Alligator mississippiensis: one gene and its partner. The protein of the gene in region 2 interacts with the protein of the main gene of each other region in a pairwise test. Links are inferred from orthologs where the notes say so. Each region holds a gene or a part of one and is shown on either strand. Other genes may lie near its edges.

Region 1 (7,929 bases), on a different chromosome or scaffold from region 2:
AGGAGGATGGGGGTAAGCAGGGGCACGCCACCCCCCCCCCCCAGCCCTGCCCCCTGCCCCCAGACTCACCCTCATTCTCGTAGCTGGGCACACTGTCTGGAGGGGAGCAGAGGCAGGCGGTCAGGGGTGCCCACATCCGCCTCTCTGCTCCTTCATCCCAGGGTGAACCCAGTTGTGCCGCCACCCCGCCACATTCGTCTGTCCCACCCCGTACCGCGGGGCAACTCCAATTATCCCCCTACCCGCCTGTCTGCTCCTCCATCCCAGGGTGAGCCCAGTTGTGCCCCTGCCCACGTCCATCTGTCCAGCCCTCAACCCCAGGGCAGCTCCAGTTACCTGCCTCCCCGTGTCCATCTATCCGGCCCCTTCCCCTGGGGTTAGCTCCCATCCCTGCACCCTGTCCGCCTCTCTGGCCCAGGTGACCCAGTGGGGGGGAGCGGCACTCACCATTGTCGGGTTCAGGTCGGGCCACTGACGCCGTGCGGCTTGGAGGGGCCTGAGGCGAGCGCCTGGGGGGCAGGAGGGGCCGGTGATGCACAGAGCACAGGGCCCCCAAAGGCCACAGCACCCCCGCCCCAGCCTGGGGACCCTCGAGGGGTCAACCCCCGAAGCAGGAGGGAGGTGGGCAGCCCCGTGGAGGGCCCGCTGGCAGGTTGGGGGGGGGCGGCACTCAAGGCCACTTACGGGATGGAGAGGAACTGCTCCGTGGGGGTGACGGGCTGCTGGCGGATCTGGTTGCGGGGGGCACCTGGGGGGGGGGCAAGGGGTGAGGAGAGGTGTCTGGGGAGTGGGGGGGGGGAGCAGGGGCTGAGCGTTACTCACAGCTGCTGCGGCTCAGCAGGATGAAGCTGTTCTGGGGGGCGCAGGGGGCTGGGGGCCTGCAGGGAGGGGGAGACACCGTAAGACCCCCCCCAGTACAGCCCCCCACCCCCCTAAACCTGCACAGTCAGATGTGGACAGACAGACTCACTTGTACTCGTAGTCACCAATGGCCTCTGGACCTGAGGGGAGGGGAAATTGGGGGTGGCGTTCAGGGCAGCCTGGGGGCCCCTCCACCCAGCCTCAGAGAAGGAGAGCCCGCACACCTGGGTCCTCTGCCTAGCACAATGGATGCCGGGGTTCTGCGCCCAGCTCGGGGTGGGAGCCGCGGGGGGGTCAGGCACTCACCACGTGGGGACCGCCGCGGACAGTGGGCGCAGAGCAGGGCAGCCACAGGGGGCAGCAGCGCCAGGACCCCGAGCGCCAGCAACGCCGGCTCCATCCTCCTGCACGGTGGGGACCAGGTGTCAGGGACCCCCTGCCGCACCCGGACACCTGGGCTCTCCATGTGCAACCGGGGATCCAGTGCCATACAGCGGGGGCGGGGGAGCCTGGGGCCCACCCAGCCCTGAGAGCGCGGGGCTCGGACGCGTGGGTTCCCCACGCTCCGGGAAGGGGAGTAGGGTCCAGGGGCTTAGAGCAGAAGAGCCGGGCCGCCTGGGGTCTCTACCTGCTCCAGGAAGGGGATCAGGGTCCGAGGGGTTCGAGCAGGGGGCCCGGGCGCCTGGGTTCGACCCAGTACAAGGCCCGGACGCCTGGATTCACTTCCGCGTTTGCTGGCTTCAAACGGGGGTGGGGGGGGTTGGGAGCCCGGATGCTCGGGTTCACTCCCAGGCCAGGTGGGTTAAAGCACATGGTGGCCTGGGCTCTTCCCCAGGCAGGCCACGTAGGTGCCACCCAGATGCCTGAGTGCCACCGAAGACCGGGAGGGGAGCAACCTGGCAGGGAAGCCCAGATGCCTGGGGTCTCCCCAGCACCAGGAGAGCAGGCCCGGCAGGCCGCTGTACACGGGGCCGGAGCTGGCTCAGAGGAGGGGAGGTTGGGGGCCCGGTGGGTGACAGCAAGTAGCACCTGGGTTCTCCTCCAGGCCTTTTAGGTTCAAACGTGGAGGCCTGGGGCGCCCGGCCGCCTGGGGTCTCCTCCAGCTTTGCTGGCTCAGGAAGGGGCAGGGTTGGCGCTCAGACCCCTGGGCTCTTACCGCCCCAGGAGATTAAAGCTCGTAGGAGCCAGGCACCAGGCCTCGTAAGGTGGGACCAGGACCGGGGGTGGGCTGAGAGCTGGGTTCTCCAGCAGGGGAGGAGTGCGGCACTGACTCGTGGGGGGGCAGGTGCTGTGGGCGTCTCGGCTCCGTCTCAGCGCTGCGGTTTGCACGCGGGACCCGGGCGCAGCAAAGCAGCTGCAGCCCTTCCCCCCGCGGGGCCCAGCCCAGCCCGGCTGAGCTGGGGAAATGGAGGGGGGGCACAGTACTGGCGCGCAGGCTGACAAGCCCCTCGGGGCGCCCTGCTCCCCCCAGAACCCAGGCGCCCCAGCCCGCCCGATCCAGCTGAGCAGCCAAGGGTAACGACCACAAACCGCACTGGGGATGCGGCCAAGGGGACGGGGCGGCGCGGGTGCAGAGTGAGGGGCACCGCCCTGGGCTGACAGGGGTGCTGCCAGTCAGGAGTGAGGGGCACCGTGGCAAGAGGGGGCAAGAGGGGCACTGCCAGGGAGCGACGGGGAGAGGAGTCAGGCAGGGAACTGCCGGAGGAGGTGACGGGGTGGGGCTGCAGACCAGGAGCGAGGGGCGCCGCCACGGGGCAATGAGAGGGGGCCGTGGGTCGGACGGGGTGCTGTGGGGCAGGAGTGAGGGGCACTGCTGTGGCACACAGCGGGCTCGTGCATGGGGAGGGACACCACCAGGGGGAAAATGGGGGGGGTGCACGTGAGGAGCATGTTGGAGCAACAAAGGGGGTTGCAGGTCAGGAGTGAGGGGCACGACCATGGGGCAGGGACACCCCCCAAAATGGTTAGGAGCCCAGGTGTCCGGGGGCTGTCCCCGCCCCCACGCCCTCGCCCTGAGGCACGTGGCCACATCCGCACGTCCAGCCAGCGTGGGGGCAGGACATACGCCACCACTGGCTTCCTGCCCACTGGGCCGGCCTGAAGGGCCATGGTTTCAGGGTCCCCCCGCCCTGGGACCTACCTGGGGCCGGCGCGGTGGCTCCGTCAGTGCAGCCTGGCTGCCGCGAGGCTCTGCCTGCCCCCCCCACTCCCCTCCCCCCGCCCCCCATCCTGCCCCTCCCCCGCAGCACAGGAAGCTGCGGCGGGAGACTGAGGCTGGGCAGGAAGTTGTTCACTGCAGGCGGGGGCACGCACACCCCTGCCCAGAGAAGCCAGGCGTCCGGGCTCCCAGGCCCCCAACACAGACCACACCTGGGACCCATTAGGAAGCCTTTAATGAGGTGCAAAGACAGCGGTATGGGGATGGCTTCCCACACTGCAATAGGGCAACTAGACCCCCCCCACCTGGGAAGGCACAGCCTGAGCCCCGCCACCACTGCAGGGAAGCCTGGCACCCCAATCCCCCGGCGGGGCAGGCTGTGCTGGCTGGGGGCTGGCACTGGTCACGCCCCAGTCTGGCCCTGCAGGGGTAAAACCCCTTGTCCGTCCATCCATCTGTCCATCCATTTGCGGCCATGGGCGCAGGGAACAGCCACTCTCTCCTGTCCCTTCTGCGCGGGGGGGGCAGCTTCCATCCCGGCTGCGTGGCTACGGTTGTGTCCCGCCCTTGCATGGCTCTGGGGGCGCTCTGGTCCCTGTGCCCCGGGCGCAGCTCCGGGGTCTGAGGGGCTCAAATGAGGACGCTGGAGACAGGCAGCTGGGCTGCGCGCCCCCCCCGCGGCACTACAATGCGCTCGGACGCTGCTCCGGGGCTCCCCCCAGCCTCCGCCAGCAGCCCTGCAGTGGGGAGAGAGGCAGAGAAAGGTTAATAGCGGGTGGGGGCAGAGAGGAGCCAGATGTCTGGGCTCTTTGTCCCACACCCAGCCTAGGGTGCAAACAAGTGAGCAAGTAAGAGCCCCAGGGCAGGTGGAAGCAGAGACACTAGAGGCCCAGACACCTGGGAGCAAATGGGTCGGGGCTGGGAGCCCGGACGCCTGCGTTCCCTCCGGTAGGTGCAAGCCAGGGGAGTGGGAAGCCCAACGCCTGCGTCCCCGGACCATCCCGGCAGCTCCGAGCAGGGCTGGGGGTGGTCTCAGGGTGCTACACTGGGGCTGTGCTGAGCCTGCGGAGGGCTGTGAGGGTCCACAGGGCCGTGCTGGGGCTCAGAGGGTCGTGGGGGCCATGTTGGTCTGGGAGTCATGCTGGCATCTAGGAGAGGCTCAGAGACTGTGCTAGGTCTTAGGGGCCTGCGTTGGCCCGAGGGCCGTGCTCGAGTCTGGAAAGATCTGATGGCTGTGCTGTGCTGGGGTCTGTTGGTCATGGGGGCCGTACTGGGCCGGGGGACAGTGGGGCAGACTCACCCTGTGCCTGCAGGTGGGCACGGCGCCGGTCAGCAGGCAGCACGAGGGCGGTGGCGAGGAAGAAGCCGCCTCCGAGGGCTCCCACGAAGGCACAGAGCGTCAGCGCATAGCCCAGGCTGCGGAAGGCCCACAGTGGGGTGGGGGGCCGGTGCCGGCGCACCGCGTCACTCATCTGTGGGGGGCACACGGCTGGGACCAGGCATCTGGGCACCCGCAGGGAACAGCAGCATCCTGGTTCCCAGCCCTCACGCCCTGCCCACGGATCCCAGGTGTCCCGGCCCCCCATGCCCAGCCCCTAGCCCTCACTCCCCTCCCAGGAAACCCAGGCATCCAGGCTCCCTGCCTGGCCCCCATGTTGGGGGGGGGGGGTGGTATCTCACCACCCCGACGAGGTAGGGGCTCCCAGCATCTCCCAGCAGGTGGGACATGACGATCTGCAGTGCCTCGGCCGTCGACCGCCGCGTTGGCACCACCACATACTGCCAGGGTCAGACCACAGGTTAGAGGTCGGGGGCAGCCCTGGGATCTGACCCCTCGCCCCCACCACAGCCCAGCCAGGGGGAATCAGGCACTGGGTGGCCGGACGCCTGGGTTCTCTCCCGAGTTTGCTGGTTTAGAAGGGAGGGTGGGGGGTGTTGAGGTCCCAGATGCCTGGGTTCCACCTGGTGCTACCCCTCCCCTCAGCCCAGGCACCTGGGTCCCCCTCAGCCCCCACTCACCAGGAGGATGTCAGCAACGAGGGCCCAGTTCAGGGACAGCAGCGTCTCCCCAATGAAGATGAACACCTAGGCAGCAAGGGGTGGTGAACCTGTGACCCTGGGCACAGCCCCCAACACCCGGCCGGGCCCTGGCCCACCCTCCCTGTACTCCCACACCAGCCCGGCGGCCCCGACTCACGTAAGTGACAGGGATGCTGGCACGGGCCAGGGCCACAGCCAGGAAGAGGCAGGGTGCAGCGCCTAGCAGCCCAATGGCACACACCAGGGGGTCGGCGCGGGAAGAGCGGAGCCGCAGCCGACGTGACAGCTCCACGCCTGCCCCCACGCCCAGCACCCCCGTCACGCAGGTCACTGCCCCGAACACTAGGCTGCAGGCACAGGGCATGGGTCAGGGGGCGTCGGGCCCAGAGGCACATAACAAGCATCTCACACTCACACACACACACACACACACACACACACAGCCAGGGGTCACGGGTTTAAGCTCTGGCACTGTAAAGGTGCCATGGGTCAGAAACCAAGCACCTCGCACAGACATCAAAGATCAAAGTTCATGAACTTTACATGCACGACAAAGGCTCTTCACACATGGCAAAAAACAAGATCACGCGTTGGGCACCTTGCACACATGCAAAGGGGCCAACATCAGAGATCAGGCAGCTCACAGGCAGGCCGGAGGTCACAGGACACACGTCACACACAGAGTTAAAAGTCAGAGGTCAAAGCTCAAACATCTCCCACACACCAGCACACAAACCAAGCGCTGCACATGTGCCAGGAAAGCACAGACCACAGCCCAGGCTCCTCGCACACACACCAGGGGTCAGTGCCTGACCTGTCGTCAGCGGGCGGTGCGCCGGCAGCCAGCCGGGCACGCTGCAGGAAGGCTGGGGCCCAGAGCGCCAGGGCCCCTGTCACGAAGGCCACAGCCGTGAAGCCCAGCGAGGACAGCACGAAGCTCCGGCTGAAACACACGGGGGTAGTAAGACCCAGCTCCAGCCCCCACCACCCCGGGCCCTCCCCCAGCCACACACTCACTTGCGTGCCAGGGCTCGCACGTCGTCACACCAGGAGGTGTAGTGGAGTGGGGAGGGGGGGCCGTGGCGCTCCACGGCCCCCCGTGGCGGCTCCTTCATCACCAGCAGCAGCAGCACCACTGCCACCACTCCCAGCCCAGGGGTCACCTGTGGGAGGGAGGGGGTGGGGTCAGGCCTGAGGCCCCGCCTACCCTGCCCTGATGGGCCTTTGCTCCTCCCACTAGTCTTAGGCCCTGCTCCTAACACCCAGGCCCCACCCCCTGCAGCATAAATCTCACCCCTAGGGCTGCCCCACCCTTGCTTCATGCCAGGGGGAGAGGGTACAACGCTGCCTCCGCACCGCCCCAGCTCACCCTAAGCGCCCAGTGCCAGTCGTGCATGACATCCTTCACCTTGGAGCCTGCCATGTAGCCTAGGCCGCTGCAGTGGAAGGAGGCAGGGGGGGTCAGTGACAGCCCCACGGTGCCCCCGCCCCCACCCTGTCCCAGCCAGGCCCCTGCCTGACCTGCCCACAGGGATGGCGAAGTAGAAGAACCCGAGCATGCGGCTGCGGCGGTCGCCCACGAAGAGGTCGGCGATGATGGTGGGGGCCACGGTGGAGTAGCTTGCCTCCCCCACCCCCACCAGCCCCCGTGTCAGCAGCAGCAGCCAGAAGTGCTGGGAAGACGCAGGGGCGGGCACAGTCAGTGCTGGGGGGTACATCCCACCCGTACTCCCCGAAAGCGGGTGCCCCCCTGCACCAACCTGCCGGGGCACAAAGCTGCTGGCAAGGGTGACAGTCGACCAGAGGGCGATGCCCACGCAGAGCAGGAGGCGGCGGGAGCTGCGGTCCCCCAGGAACCCGAACAACGGCGCCAGCACCATGTAGCTGCTGATGAACACTGCGGGGCGCGGGGGTGTGAGCGGGCGCGGGAGGGGCGCAGCCCTGCCCTGCCCTGCCCCCGCCTCGCGAGTCGGGCTGCCCCCGCCCTCACCAGTCTGGAGGAGCCCGGAGCTGCCGTCCCCGATGCCGAAGTAGGCCTCGATCTCGGGCAGGACGCCTGCGGGCAGAAGCGGGGGGTGAGACGGGCAGCGCCGGCCCGCGCCGCCCCGGGGCCCTTCGCCCTCCTGCGCCCCGCACGGCTCTTCGAGCAGCGTTCGCTCGGGGCACGCCGAGCTGCCCCGACTCCCCGAAGCCTTGTCCTCGCGAGGCCGCCCTCCGCGTACCCAGCCCCGCCAGCACGTGTGGCCCCGGCGCGCCGTACCGGCCACGGTGAACCGGTCCATGTAGTTGAGCAGGTTGACGTAGCAGAGCACCGCCACCATGAGCCGGGCCCGGCGCCCCGACACCCCGGTGATGGCCGCCGTCTCTGCCTCGCCCAGGGGGGCCGGCCCGCCGCCCCCCTCGTCCTGCTCCTCCTCCTCCAGCCCCTCGTCCTCTTCCTCGTCCTCCTCCGTGCGGTCGGCCCGGCTCAGGAAGGGCGCGCTGTCGGGGTGGGGGCTGCGCCGCGCCGCCATGGCGGGGGGAGGGGGCACAAGCGCGGCTGGGGCCTGAGGAGCAGTGCCCGCGCCCTCACGTGACCCACAGATTTCCCCGACCTCACGTGACCCCAGGCTCCCCCAACACCTCACGTGACGGCAGCGCCGCCACGTGACCCGGAAGCGCCCCCGTCGCCCCCTCGCACCCCAAGAGCCCACGTGACCCCCCCGCGGTGACGCAGCGCTCCCCGAACCCCGCCAACTCACGTGACCCTGCGGCAGCCTCCCGCCCCGTCACCGCCCACGTCACCTGACCCGGCAACGGCTGCGACGTCACGCCCGGCTCCGCCCCTTCCCCCTCCGATCCCTATGGCAACCGCAGGGATTTCCCCGCCT
Region 2 (7,406 bases):
CAAGCTTTCCAAGCGGCTGTTTGAAAAAAAAGAAAACGATGAGAAAAGGAGCAGGGATACAAGACTGAAAACTCTGGCCTTTTGCCAGTGCCTTAGAACATGAGTGAGCAGGAGATGTGTTCACACACAGCACGGATACGTCTGTTGTGGAAACCGTGCTGGTCCTGGTATGACGGTGCTTCTAAGCTACCGACAGCCATGTCAGAAGGGAACCTGCCAGTTCGCACATGGATTCTACTTCCCCATTTTGAAGGCACCATCGAGGCTTCTCACTGCCGCTTTTCTTGCTCCCCCCCAGCCACAGACCCATCAAGCCAGGCTGTCAGAGAACGGGCAGCGTTTCCATTCAGGGCCCATTCTGCTGGGAAGTGGAGCCACACAGGAAGCAAACTATGCACCAGGAGAAGGTAACAATGTGCCCAACACTCTTCCAGATTATAGCTACAGCTCAGGCAAACCCAGCAGGCTCCCAACAGGACCGTGACCAGGGCAGCGACATCCTACCAGCTGTGGTACCCTCACTGGCTTAGACCTGGCCCTTCGGTTCTTCAGGGCTGGCAAGCATCGTGGCGCCTAGTTTCCACACCCCGGTTCAGAAGGAACTGTGCAGAACAGGGGGAAGCGCCCGCTCCAGCACAGCACACCCTGACCCCTTGTGAGGGGAGTCCTCCCTCCACTCTGCACACACCCCTCTGTCACCCACACCCATGCTCAGCTCAGCTCAGCCCGCGCAGTTCCCTCAAGGAAGCGACCTTCAGTCTTCAGACGTTCAGCTTCGGTGACATCCTCTTCGGAAGGGGTGACCGGCTCGGAGCTCGTCCTGCTGTCTTGAGACTCCTAGTAAACACCAAGGGGAGAGAAAGGCATAATTTAGTGTCACCAGCATCTGCTACAAACCAGCGCTACAATCCCCTGCAAGGCTGGGTCCTTCAGAGCGAAACGCTGCCAGCACCAACTCCCCCACAGGGACAGTGCAGCCTCGAAACCGAGCCACACGTGCATTTCTCACAGCAATCCTGAATCCACAGCTCTACCCCGCAGGACACTCACCCGTCCTGTAGCAAATTCAAAGATCTCAGGGAGGGTCTGAGACACGGCCAGCCCTTGATCTTCCATGGACACACCATACGCCGTCTCCAGGCACTGGATTGCAACTGGGTGGGGAAAGAGGGGGACACTTAGATTTCCTCTTGCCTTCTAGAGCCGTGTTTCAACCCCGCTCCGCTACCCTGGAGTCTGGACTCAGGATGCCGATGGGAAAAATCCCAGTCCTGCTGCTAAAGGATGACTACTAGCCAGCCGGTGCTGGTCAGAGTGAGCTCAGGATGTGGTGATATTTTTTGGCTGCTCCCCTAGCTAGTGGTTTGGAAAGCTGCTCTTCTCCCTGTGACACACCAAGAGCTGCAAGGGTTCACGCAGAACAAGCAGACCTGGACGGGTTGGACATGTGGGCGGAAAACAACAGAATGCAATTCAACAAGGAGAAATGCAAAGTGCTACACCTAGGGAGGAAAAATGTCCAGCACACCTACTGCCTAGGGAATGACCTGCTGGGTGGCACAGAGGTGGAAAGGGATCTGGGAGTCCTAGTGGACTCCAAGATGAACATGAGCCGGCAGTGTGACGAAGCCATCAGAAAAGCCAATGGCACTTTATCGTGCATCAGCAGATGCATGACGAATAGGTCCAGGGAGGTGATACTTCCCCTCTATTGGGCGCTGGTCAGACCGCAGTTGGAGTACTGCGTGCAGTTCTGGGCACCACACTTCAAGAGGGATGCGGATAACCTGGAGAGGGTCCAGAGAAGGGCCACTCATATGGTTAAGGGCCTGCAGACCAAGTCCTACAACGAGAGACTCGAGAAACTGGACCTTTTCAGCCTCCGCAAGAGAAGGTTGAGAGGCGACCTTGTGGCTGCCTATAAGTTCATCACGGGGGCACAGAAGGGAATTGGTGAGGATTTATTCACCAAGGCGCCCCCGGGGGTTACAAGAAACAATGGCCACAAGCTAGCAGAGAGCAGATTTAGACTAGACATTAGGAAGAACTTCTTCCCAGTTCGAGTGGCCAAGGTCTGGAACGGGCTCCCAAGGGAGGTGGTGCTCTCCCCTACCCTGGGGGTCTTCAAGAGGAGGTTAGATGAGTATCTAGCTGGGGTCATCTAGACCCAGCACTCTTTCCTGCTTATGCAGGGGGTCGGACTCGATGATCTATTGAGGTCCCTTCCGACCTAACATCTATGAATGGTTATTAGGAAAGCATCAGTACTAGGCCAGAAGGGAGTTGCACAACCAAGCAAGAAGCCCATCGGCGATGCTGAGCCCCGGCCCGGGCAGCCCAGCTCGGGAGGGAGGCAGGGGCGGGGCAGGGCGGGGCACGCAGCCGCCTACCTTCCAAGCTCTCCTGGGCGTCGGGGGACAGCCCCCCGTTCTGCAGCTGGTCGTGTAGAAACTGGATGATGGAGTAGGCCAGGCGCTTTCTGTCCGCCATGCTGCACGGCTGCTCTCCGACTGCCCCGAACAAGTGTCTGCGGCCGGGGGAGGGTGCGATCAGTACAAGGCAAAACAGCGAGGCTCCCCGACGGGGGAGGGCCGGGCACCGAAGGCTGGACGCTGTGGCTAGACCGGACCCCACGCAGCGCGACCCCTCTGCGCTGCGGGACGGGCTGAGCCGAAACTCGGCAGCGGAGCTGTGCTCGCGACCCCACACGCGCTCCGGTTATTCTAGCTTTTGCACGACTCCCCGCTCACACCCAAGGGCCTCTGGAGCACCCCAAGAGGCTCGGAGCAGGCACACACGTGTGGGCAGGCATGCACACACAGGCTCAGGTGCATGCAGGCGCACACATGTGCACACACGCAGATGCACACGTGTACAGACACGCACGTGTGCACACGCACGCACACACGTGCCCGCAGCACAGCCCCCCCCCGGGAGAGGGGACACGCGCCCCCCCGGGCGCCCCCTGCGGGGGGTCAGCCCCGCCCCTCTCACCAGCCGCCTCCGAGCTGCGCTCGCCCCGGCAGAGCCCGCAGCGCACTGCGCAGGCGCACGGCGACCCGGCCGACCCCGCCCCCTCGGCCTCCGCCGCACTGCGCAGGCGCTGGGGCGCCCGCGCCGCCTCTGCGCCTGCGTGCCGTCCTCTTCCCTGGCGGAAGGGGAAGTGAGGTTACAGGGGGCGGAAGTGCTGCTAGCGAGGCATTGTGGGAGGCGAGGCGAGGCGAGGCGAGGCGGTGTCTCGCCTTGTGTACCATAGAGACGTGGCTGGCTCCCCACTCTGGGGGGATCATACTTCCTGGAGGCCCCCCCCACCCAGCGCATGTCCAATACGAGCCAGGATCGGGCCCCTGCCCTGGCTTGGAGGGGGTGGGGGGGTTATGCTATTGCACCTCCCCAGCCCTTCCCCCACATCTGAGGGGAGAGAGGTCTACCTCGCCCCCCAGCGCCAGTCCTCCAACATCCCAGAATCCTCCCTGCCTGCTCCACCTCCTCCTCTCTGTGGTTGAGGCTGGGGACACATGTCCCTGTGAGCGGGGAGCCGCCTGCACGGCAGCAGTAGTTCCCCCCCCGGCATGGCCCCCCCCACAGGTACCGCCGGGGCGGGGGGGCAAGGGGGGTGGGATCCGCTGGGGGGGCAAAAGGGGGCATGGGAACCAGTGCGGGGGGGCTGGGAACCAGTGGGGGGGCAAAAAGGGGAAGGGTGGGAGCCCGTGGGGAGGGTAAAGGGGGGGATGGGAACCAATGGGGGGGCAAAAGGGGGGTGGGAACCGGGGGGGGGCAAAAAGGGGAAGGGTGGGAGCCCGTGGGGGGGGGTAAAGGGGGGGATGGGAACCAGTGGGGGGGCAAAAGGGGGGGTGGGAAGCAGTGGGGGGGCAAAGGGGGAAGGGTGGGAGCCAGTGGGGGGGGCAAAAGGGGGGTGGGAGATTTGCTGGTGACTCCCCCCGTCGGTGACGCGGCGCGCGCGGCCGTCCCAGGCAGCGTCGTGCACAGCCAGCCCCCCCGCCCCGTCGCCAACCGGCTGCGATGGAACCTGACGGCCGAGCAGATCGAGAGCACGACCGTGGAGCTCGTGGAAAGGACCAAGCAGGTGTACGACCGCGTGGGCGCGCAGGAGCAGGGCGAGGTCTCCTACGAGAACACCCTCAAGGCCCTGGCTGACGTGGAGGTGGAGTATACGGGTACGCGGAGGCACAGGGCGCGGCTGAATCTCGGCAGCTCTCGTGAGGAGCTGGATGACGGTTCAGGTCTTTGGTCTGTGGAATCGTCTCTTCCTGTCGTCGTTAACCGCTGCAGCCTTGCTCTGCATTTCCTCTCGTTAGCCTTTGTATCTGGGGGCTCCAACTAGGGGAGAGGGTAGGAAACGTGGGAGATTGTCATGAAAAGCTTCCTGGCAGCAAAACCTCTTTGCCTCTGGGATAAAAGGCCCTTTCTACCCCCAGCTCCTACGAGCTGACACCTGACCACATGGCTATCTGAGCCCCTTTTCGATTTTAACCTACATATTTGTTTTTAGGAGCTAGGGCTTATGTGGTGCAGAATAATTGCACCAGGCTTACAAATGCAGCAGATGTCAGCAAAATGCCTGCTCAATCTCGGCATGTCAGGGTGGATAAACCACGCAGACTTTGCCTTCCCCTTGTAGGATCTGAAATGCTGAGCAGTTGTCTAGACAGGTTGGCAAATTGGGCGGGTCGGAACCAGATGAAGTTCAGCATTGAGCAGTGTAAAGTGCTCCACCTGGGGATGAACAGTCCCCAACTTACAGGCTCGGTGGTGCCAAACTGACCAGCACCACGAACGAAAGGGACACAGGGACAATAATAGACCACAGCATGACCATGAGCTGTAGCCAGCAGGGCTAACAGTACCCTGGCATGCAGCAACCGATGCATCTCCAGCAAAACCAAGGAAGTGATTCTTCCGCTCTGCTCAGCATTGGTGAGATTGCAGCTGGAGGACTGTGTCCAGTTCTGGGCACCGCACTTCAACAAGGATGTGCAAAAGCTTGAGAGAAGCACCCACCCGTATGATCAGGGACTTTTGCAGGGCAAGCCATACGAGGAAAAGCTGAGGGACTTGGGTCTCTTCAGCCTAAAAAAGAGCAGGCTGAGAGGGGACTTGGTAGCAGCTGACCGCCACATCAGGGGAATACATCAAGGGCTCAACGAACAGCTGCTTACCGGGGCACCCTTGGGGAAAACCGGGAGCAGTGGCCGCAAACTCTTGGAAGACCGTTTCAGGCTTAACATTAGGAAAAACTTCTTCACAGTCAGGGTGTCTGGACTGGAATAAACTCCCTTCAGACGTGGTGCAGTCACCTACCCTGGAAATCTTTAAGAGGAAACTGGACGGTCACCTTGCTGGGGTCACCTGCCCCAGGTGTCTTTTCTGCCTAGTGCGGGTGGGCTGGACCTGATGATCTTGCGAGGTCCCTTCCAGCCTTAAAATCTATAAATCTATGAATTTCCACAGAGCCAGAAGGATGTGAGATGCATTTCAGACCAGTAAGACAGCAAGAATCCTGCCCCAAGGAACTTGCACCGATCCCAGTGGATCACTGTAGAGACCGGGGATGGAGCAGGCTGTGGGAGAGGGAGGTCCTGTCAGGTCAGAAGTGAGGCAGGTTGGTGGGATCGCTTGCCGTCCACTACTTGGCTCATTTGTCAGCATGCGGGGCTGTCAGTTTGCATTGCCTCCACAAAGCATCCCTTGCCTGTGTGGTATCACGATGAGGCCAGCTGCCCTGCCACAGCTTCAGCCCCTGGCTCTGTCATTCCAGTTCACCGAAACATGCTGGACTTCCCCCAGCACGTCTCCCCTTGCAAAGACATCCGTACGGCGAGCACAGAGGCCGACAAGAAGCTCTCGGAGTTCGACGTGGAGATGAGCATGAGGCAGGACGTGTACCAGAGGATCGTCTGGCTCCAGGTTTGTGGCAGGGGGGTGACACGTGCCCAGGGCAAGAGGGGCTTAGTGTCTGATTAGGAAGTCTGCAGAGTGCTTCTGGGGGGGCCAGTGAGTCCTTCTGTGTACCAGGTGACTCTGTTAAGTCCAGTTTAATACTAAATTACCCCATCAGGGTAACAGGATCAAGTTGTTCTTGTGAAGGACAGAGTTCAGTTCTAGGCCCTGTTGTCAGCTCTGACTCCGTCTGTGGCTTGAAATGTTAGGTGCTTATGCTCTCTGCCTCAGTTTCCCCATCTGCACAGTAAGGGGAGTGATGCTGACCAGCTTTTGAAAGCTGGGGGTGGGTTTAAATCTGCAAAGTGCCTTGAAAGTGAAATGACCTGTCAGTGACTCCGCTCTCAGGTCTCGTCCTTTTAGCAGGAGACATCTGTCTTGTTCAGGGTCAGCAGTCGTTACGACAGTATGTGGGCCTTGCCCAGTCAGTTCCCCGGCTGTGGGCAAGCCAGCATTGGTCCCAGGGCGCTGCTGCCTCCTCTCCTAATGCCCCTGGCTGTTTGTTTTACAGGAGAAAGTGGAAAGTGCATCCCTGAGGCCTGAAGCCCAGAGATACCTGGAGAGGCTGATTAAGTTGGGCAAGAGAAATGGCTTACACCTCCCTGAAGACACGCAGGAGGTGAGATGGCAAGAACCAGAAACTAAGGCTGCCTGGGCCCATCCATGGGGCTAAAGATCAGGGTCTAGCGGTTAGATCAGAGCATAGGCATCCTGTATCCCTGGCTCCGTCACCAGTTCACTGAGTGATCTTGGGGGATTTGCCCCAGGTTTCCCTTCCTGCGCTTCTCCAAGGGTCTGGACGGGTTCTGGGGTGAGAAGTCCTAATCAGCAGCATTGGTAGGAAAGCAGCTCCCAGCTGGGAGTGACAGTAACCTAAGGCTTGCAGGCAGGGGCTGGCGCTGGGAAATGGCGAGCAGGCTTGGCTTGGGTTTCCTGAGCTGGTGAGGGCAGTCCTCTCAGTCGGGGACTGAGCGGCAGCTGGCTGGGCCGAGCAGCAGAGGGCACGAGGTGGGTTAAAAATAGAAATGAAGGAGAAAGAAGAGAAGCTTGAGGCTGGATGTGCCTTGGTCACCTGCAGCTGCTCTAGCTAGCCAACAGCAGGTGTGCTGGGGGTGGTGGACCCGAGCCAGACTGAGGCTGAGGGCTCTGCATGCAGCCAGCACTGTGCCATCCTGCTTGGAGAAATACCCGCAGCAAACATGGGGGAGCTGGGGGTGCAAAACTGCCAGCCCGGCTGGAGGTACCGCTCAGCCTCCCCTGCCTGACACGCTCATCTCCGCTTGCTTCTTTTGCAAAGAAAATCAAAGCCATTAAGAAGAAGCTGAGCCTGCTCTGCATCGACTTCAATAAGAACCTCAATGAGGACACCACCTTCCTGCCCTTCTCCAAGGAGGAGCTCGGTGAGGGCCAGGCTCGGTACTTACAGGGACAGGATTGGGGGGGTC

The links. The genes of interacting proteins can lie anywhere in the genome.
Region 1: the proteins of SGTA (region 2) and LAT interact in binary tests that used the Homo sapiens proteins (3 or more experiments, as listed by UniProt). The two-hybrid records come from large-scale screens. The link is inferred for Alligator mississippiensis from reciprocal best matches to the Homo sapiens genes SGTA and LAT.

Annotation. Positions count from the first base shown.
Region 1 is NC_081830.1:220,686-228,614, forward strand, and holds the start of LAT (linker for activation of T-cells family member 1), read right to left. Parts: upstream 3,082-7,929; 5' UTR 3,002-3,081; intron 1,266-3,001; 5' UTR 1,262-1,265; coding exon 1,168-1,261; intron 1,002-1,167; coding exon 971-1,001; intron 879-970; coding exon 823-878; intron 749-822; coding exon 685-748; intron 510-684; coding exon 448-509; intron 97-447; coding exon 70-96; intron 1-69. Other genes in the region: SPNS1 (protein spinster homolog 1), read right to left, coding at 3,650-3,756, 4,320-4,491, 4,700-4,798, 5,039-5,104, 5,217-5,406, 5,874-6,002, 6,077-6,222, 6,429-6,495 and 4 more. UniProt on the Homo sapiens protein: Required for TCR (T-cell antigen receptor)- and pre-TCR-mediated signaling, both in mature T-cells and during their development.
Region 2 is NC_081839.1:2,267,408-2,274,813, forward strand, and holds the start of SGTA (small glutamine-rich tetratricopeptide repeat-containing protein alpha), read right to left. Parts: upstream 3,094-7,406; 5' UTR 2,995-3,093; intron 2,528-2,994; 5' UTR 2,491-2,527; coding exon 2,391-2,490; intron 1,155-2,390; coding exon 1,051-1,154; intron 838-1,050; coding exon 753-837; intron 1-752. Other genes in the region: THOP1 (thimet oligopeptidase), read left to right, coding at 3,573-3,588, 3,975-4,178, 5,780-5,928, 6,473-6,580, 7,259-7,361. UniProt on the Homo sapiens protein: Co-chaperone that binds misfolded and hydrophobic patches-containing client proteins in the cytosol. Mediates their targeting to the endoplasmic reticulum but also regulates their sorting to the proteasome when targeting fails.